2 linked regions of the Oryctolagus cuniculus genome follow. The protein of the gene in region 2 binds, or shares a complex with, the protein of the main gene of each other region. Links are inferred from orthologs where the notes say so. Each region holds a gene or a part of one and is shown on either strand. Other genes may lie near its edges.

Evidence for each region.
Region 1: the proteins of NUDT21 (region 2) and CPSF7 are in contact, whole or in part, in a crystal structure (PDB 3N9U), measured with the Homo sapiens proteins. The link is inferred for Oryctolagus cuniculus from reciprocal best matches to the Homo sapiens genes NUDT21 and CPSF7. Residues at the interface, in NP_008937.1 of Homo sapiens: Arg68, Asn152, Glu154, Pro156, Tyr158, Tyr160, Pro162, Ala163, His164, Ile165, Thr166, Lys167; in NP_001129512.1 of Homo sapiens: Trp91, Trp92, Thr93, Thr94, Asp95, Gln96, Glu112, Lys114, Phe115, Glu117, Asn118, Arg119, Ala120, Asn121, Gly122, Gln123, Ser124.

The regions. Positions count from the first base shown.
Region 1 is NC_091432.1:10,750,296-10,754,357, forward strand, and holds the start of CPSF7 (cleavage and polyadenylation specificity factor subunit 7), read left to right. Parts: upstream 1-1,253; 5' UTR 1,254-1,389; exon of another isoform or gene 1,390-1,505; intron 1,506-1,525; exon of another isoform or gene 1,526-1,671; intron 1,672-2,021; 5' UTR 2,022-2,075; coding exon 2,076-2,129; intron 2,130-4,062. Other genes in the region: SDHAF2 (succinate dehydrogenase assembly factor 2, mitochondrial), read right to left, coding at 1,122-1,157.
Region 2 is NC_091449.1:40,190,341-40,192,894, reverse strand, and holds part of NUDT21 (cleavage and polyadenylation specificity factor subunit 5), read left to right. Parts: intron 1-555; coding exon 556-631; intron 632-1,552; coding exon 1,553-1,667; intron 1,668-2,554. UniProt on the Homo sapiens protein: Component of the cleavage factor Im (CFIm) complex that functions as an activator of the pre-mRNA 3'-end cleavage and polyadenylation processing required for the maturation of pre-mRNA into functional mRNAs.

The sequences.
Region 1 (4,062 bases), on a different chromosome or scaffold from region 2:
TCTGTCTCTACCTCTCTAACTCTTTCAAATAAATAAAATAAATCTTTTAAAAAAAGAGAGATTTAAGGACACACATAGGCTGAAAGAATAGAAATGAAATTCCACACAGCAGGGATGACCATACTTACATCAGACGAAACAGATTTAAGTCAAAATTGTCACATGACACAAAAGACATTAAACAAATATAATGTTCTAAATCAATTGTCCAGAAAGGTCTAACTATAACCAGATGCACCCAACCACATCAGAGCATCCAAATACACAAGCAAACAGAACTGAAGGAAGAAACAGAGAGCAATATAGTAATTTTAAAAATGGCCAGAACATCCAAACAGCAGGTCAATAAGGAAATAGAAGACTTAACAATACTACAGAGCAAAAGACCTAACAGATATATACCCTTCATCCTACCCAACACAAGCAAAACACACATTCCTCTCAAGAATACGTTCATTCTCCAGGATAGATCCCATATTTCATCACAAAACAAGTCTCAGCAAATTTAAGAAGGCTTAATGAAGCACACCAGATGATCTTTTCTAACCTCAATGGAATAAAACTCGAAATCAAAAGCAGAAAGAAAAATGAAAATTCACAAATACGTAGTATTAACACATTCCTTGAAAAATCAACGGGCCAAAGATGGAATCAAAAGGGAACTCAGAAGACGTCTTAAAACAAACACTAAAATCCAACATACAAGAAATTATGAGATGTAACAAAAGCAGTTCTAAGAGTGAAGTTTATGGTGGTAAATGCCTACATCAAAAAGCAATATAAAGAGGAGACTGTGAAATCAGGGTAGGCATTTAAAAGGACTTAAGAAACAGGCAGAGAGGGCGCTCAGAGGACAGAGGAGGACAGAAACGGGTGCCCTCGCGGACTGACTTTTCAGCCAGATACTACCAGGTGAGCACACAGCAGGCTCACCAAAGCAGGGAAGCGATCTGAATTTCTTCAGCAGCAGGATCGGCCTCTCCTTGGCCTCCCTTTGCCCTGGGCTACAGGACAGCTGAACGCTCCCGCTTGTCTCCATGACCCCAGAAAACGAAACTTAGTCCCTGATACTGCTGGCCCCCGGCCCCGGCCCCAGCCCCTGGAACCTCCGCGTTCCTCACCCGCGCCAAAGCCGGGAACGCAGGGACCACCGCCATTTTTCCCAACCCGCACCGGAAGTCCCCTCTGGACTACTTCCGGGAACTCCTGACGTCTGGACTAGCGAAGCTCAGCCGCCGCAGAATACTTGAGCCGGAAGATGCGTCCTTGCGTCTGGCGGAAGTGGCGCTGCGTGTGACGCCGCCGGCGGGGGGGCGGGACCTGGGGCGGAGAGCGGTTCGCGCGCTTCGGGCCTAGTCCGGACCTGCCGCCGCTGCCGCCATATTCCCGGTAACGGGGGCGCGCGGCCGGGGGCCGGCTGGGCCGGAAGAAGGGCCGGGACCGACGCTGAGGCGGGGAGGGGGTCGGTTGAGCTTAGGGCGGCCGGAGTCAGCGAGCGGAGGGAGGTGCGGGTCCTTGAGGGAGGGGCCAAGCGCGCCGGGCCGGGTCTGTGGGGAGGGAGTGGGACAGGCCTAGCCGGGGGCGAGGATTGGGCCGGGATGAGAGGCGGAGGCGGATGGAGCTCTGGGACCCAAAGGCGCTGAGGCCGGGGTCGCCTCGGGGCCTGGGCAGGTGCGGGCAGGCTGGGCCTGCGGGCATCGCCGCCGTGTTCTTCGCAGCCCTGCCCGAAGGCCCTTGGGAGCCGAGGCCTGGACTAGCCTGTCGCGCCACCGGCAGCTGCGGCGCCGACGCGGCGCCCCCCGCGCCGGGCCCGAGGGTGATGGGCAGCGCGCCCCGCGAGCCCGGGCGGCCTGGGAGAGCGGGGGGGCGGCGCGAGGCCGGGGGCGGGGCGGGGCGGGTGGGGCCGGGCTCGGGCGGCCGGGATGCTGCGTCTCTGGAGACGGGATGTGGGCAACCATCGCCCTGCGCTCGGGCCGGGCCCGTCGTGCCTTCTAATTGTTGCCCTCTTCTGACTACCACAGTGGCGTCTTTCTTACTTTGTCCATTCTCCGGGCTCGAGAGCTTCCTTCGGAGCCATGTCAGAAGGAGTGGACTTGATTGATATATACGCTGATGAGGAGTTCAACCAGGTGAGAGGGTGGCGGTGGTCCTTGGGAGCTTTGGGCTTTTCCTCGATCGGCCGAGGAATCATCTCCAGTAACTCGCACTGGTTTCACGATGTGCCAGTGCCAAGCTGTGCCAGTCCGAGTCTTGAACACAACTCTGGAGTCCGAAATTTTCCCCCTAGCGGAGACTTTAAAGGTTACTGAGTATTCTGCTTAATGTTAATTTGAACCTTCAGGCTTAATTTTGAAGGGTTTGATTTAAGAGCATATAAAAATCAACTGTAATAGAATGGTGAATCAACCTGTGGAACTTGCTCCCCAAGGAAGCAAAAGTTGGGTGGCAGTCTCCTCAAAGACTTAGCACACTTAAAAATCGGAATTATGTTTGCTGCGGGTTGGTGAGAACAATGTTGATAGCTGTTTGGTCTGGCAGACTAGCTGGAGAAGTGTCCTCTCCAGCATGAAGGTACGAAGGCACTGCACTTGAGATACTTTAACGTTCAGTTTTGCTCCATTGCAATTGCTTTTGAGTTGAGTCTTTTATAAGTAGCTTGACTCCGGTCTTGAGAAGTACATCGACATTTTAATGTAATAAATTTTGTGTATTGTTCTCGGGAGGAAAGGGTAAAGAACATTGGGCAAAGTAGCTAAAAAGCAGATGTAGACCCATTCACATATCCTAAGTTGGAAGTGATTGTCTCTTTATGTTTTCATTTCACCAGAGAATGTTGTATATTTTTCTTTTTTTTTTTTTTTTTTTTTTTGACAGGCAGAGTGGACAGTGAGAGAGAGAGACAGAGAGAGAAAGGTCTTCCTTTGCCGTTGGATCACCCTCCAATGGCCGCCGCTGCAGCCGGCGCACCGCGCTGATCCGATGGCAGGAGCCAGGAGCCAGGTGCTTTTCCTGGTCTCCCATGGGGTGCAGGGCCCAAGCACCTGGGCCATCCTCCACTGCACTCCCTGGCCATAGCAGAGAGCTGGCCTGGAAGAGGGGCAACCGGGACAGAATCCGGCGCCCCAACCAGGACTAGAACCCGGTGTGCCGGCGCCGCTAGGTGGAGGATTAGCCTATTGAGCCACGGCGCCGGCTCAGAATGTTGTATATTTTTAATAGCTGTTTTCCTACGTCCTTGTTAAACTGGCATCATCTACATATGACTACTTAAATACATGATGTTTTTCTAAGTTTGGACAAGTCAAATAATTATGGATCAAAGAGAAGAGTTTAGAATGTTCATTTAGTTACAAGACCATTGCTTTCCTGAGTTTTCGATGTCCTTTAACTCAGACTTTTACCAATTCTTTGTATGGGTTTTGTTTTTTTCCTTTTTTTTTTTCTTTTTCTTTTTTTTTTTTTAGAGATTTATTTGAAAGAGTTACACAGAGAGAGAGAGAGGGCTTCCATCTGATGATCTGATGGTTCACTCCCCAGTTGGCTGCAATGGCTGGAGTTGCGCCTATTTGATCTGAAGCCAGGAGCTTCTTCCAGTTCTCCCATGCGGTTGCAGGGGCCCAAGGACTTGGGCCATCTTCTGCTTTCCCAGGCCGTAACAGAGAGCTGGATTGGAAGTGGAGCAGCCAGGTCTTGAACCGGTGCCCATGTGGGATGCCGGTGCTTTAGGACAGGCTGTGAACCTGCTGCACCACAGCGCTGGCCCTGTGGGTTCTTTTGTTTTTCTTTACAAGATAACAGGAAAATAAAGCCCTCTAGTTCTTTTCTGTCTTTAATGAAACTTTTCTCTCTGTGTGTAATTCCTTATCTATGGACTGATAACAGTGGTACTGATTGACTTTGGGAAATAGGCAGAACAGGGTCCTTGATCACTAGCCACATTTGGTCTGAGGAAGTAAGATTTTAAGTTTTTAAACGATATTACTCATAGGTGAATACTGTCCAGTATTCACTGCTCTGTTAGGGTTGACATTGATCTTAGCAATTTGTTCTCTTTAATTTAAA
Region 2 (2,554 bases):
GCCAGGGCTGAAGCCAGGAGCCGGGCACTTGACCTACTTGACGTGTAGGTGTCAGGAGCTCAATCACGTGAGCCATCACGGCTGCCTTCCTGCATCTGCAGGGTGCTGAGTTAAGGAGCCAGTGGGTGTGGAATGAACTTAAGCACTCTGATACAATATGGGATGTAGGTGTCTTACTGCTAGGCCTAATGCCTGCTGCCACCCCCAAATCCTGTCCCCTGCCATAATTATGTATTTTGCCTTGAATAATTAACTGGTTCACTACTTATTATTTCACATGGCTTGAAAACATTTATGTTTAGTGCATCTGTTAGGTAGTAGGTCATGGTAATGGGAAGACTAGAAAGTTGTATACTTCTAGCAGTTTTGGGAAGTAAACAGCAAGCTGTGGGATATATGTTAAAATAAAATTGTATTTGGGATATGAGGAACTTGGTCTCAGAAGGGTTGATGGTTGAGCTTACTGTCTGAAATGGGAAAAGTTGATAACGAAAGGCATGGGGGTTTAAGGAATGGTGAGTCTTGAAAACTGATTATTCCCATTTGTTATTTTAGTATCCATATATTCCTGCACATATTACAAAGCCTAAGGAACATAAGAAGTTGTTTCTGGTTCAACTTCAAGAGAAAGGTAGGTTGTGTTTGAAATTACTTGTAGACTAATTTCAAGGTTACTTCTGTGTTTTAAACCACAAGCTTTGAATTTTTGGATTTATTGTAAAAACTAAAAGGACATTCTATGTTTATACAGAATTGCTTGCTTTCTCTTAGCTGTGCCAGTCCTGGTATGGAGGGAAATTAAAATTTAATCATGGCCTAAAATACCACTTCACATGTGAAATAAATTAGTGAAAAATTTAAGAAACTGATTTTTTTTTCATGCCATGTTTAGGACTGTTGCATGTTTTCACAGGTACTTATCCTGTTTCTTGTAATTTTTTTTAAAGATTTATTTATTTGAAAGAGTCACACAGAGAAGGAGAGGCAGAGAGAAAGAGAGAGAAAAAAAAGTCTTCCATCTGCCGGTTCACTCCCCGGTTGGCCGCAATGGCCAGAGCTGCGACAATCTGAAGCCAGGAGCTTCTTCTGGATCACTCACATGGGTGCAGGGGCCCAAGGACTGAACCTTCCTCTGCTGCTCTCTCAGGCCATAGCAGAGATCTATATCGAAAGTAGAACAGCCAGGATTCGAACCGGCACCCATATGGAATGCCGGCACTGCAGGCTTTACCCACCATGCCAGAACGCCAGCCCCCTCCTATAGTTTTATTATGGAATCCAAAATATAAACCCAGGGCTGTTCTCTTCTCTCCTTTCTTCCAGGGCCAACACTTAGAAGGTGCTAGTGGTAATAACATGGATCAGTTAGCTAACTAGTCAGTTTCATATGTCACTAAGAACACTAGCTTTACAGACAACCAAAATGTATTAATGAGAAGTATATTTCTTTACAACTTTTTTTTAGATCAAACTAATGATTAGCTTAAAATGAGACGGAGGTGGTGGTTGTATGTGAAATTGTAGAAAATGAACACTGTTTTGTTTGTTTTAGCCTTGTTTGCAGTCCCTAAAAATTACAAGCTGGTAGCTGCACCATTGTTTGAATTGTATGACAATGCACCAGGATATGGACCCATCATTTCTAGTCTCCCTCAGCTGTTGAGCAGGTATGGAAAGTTGAACATTTTGTGGTTCATCCATATAAGCTGTCAGATTGAAAATATTTTGAGCCACTTGAAAAGGGATACTTTGTGAATTTTGGTTCTTAAGGAAACTAAGATAAGCTAAGACTCTTGGGTCATGTGCAATACATAGATTAAATGTGACTGATTTAGAAGTATCCTCAGACTCTAAGCCATGGCTTGACATTCTATTATTTGTGTTACTGTTCTTCTACATCTGTTATTTTCTACAGTTAAGTTTGAAGTCTATTCAAAGAAGAGATGGTAACGTTATTCACAGCAGTGCGTAAAATATGAAGGGAGTTGTCTATATCAAAATGTGTAGAATTTTTTTTTAATATTTATTTATTTGAAAGGCAGAATTACAGAGATGTAGAGGCAGAGAGAGATCTTCCATCTGCTGTTTCACTTCCCAAATGGCCTCAACAGCTGGAGCTGGGCCAATCCAAAGCCAGGAGCCAGGAGCTTCTTCTGGGTCTCCCACATAGGTGCAGCGGCCCAAGCACTTGGGCCATCTTTCTTCCACTGCTTTCCCAGGCCATAGCAGGGAGCTAGATCAGAATTGGAGTAGCCAGGTCTCGAACAGGTGCCCATATGGGATGCTGGCACTGCAAGCTGTGGCTTTACCCTTTATGCCATGCCACCAGCCCCTAGAATTGAATGCCTTTGTATAATTTGGGCCTAAATTGGGGTGTCTGGGATAGGTCTTGGATTTTATATGGGATTTGAATTTTTAGGCAGATAGAATAATAAAAAATACATATTTTAAAAACTTTATATTTTGGGCTGGCTCCATGGCTCACTTGGCTAATCCTCTGCCTTTGGCGCCGGAATCCCATATGGGCGCCGGGTTCTAGTTCCAGTTGCTCCTC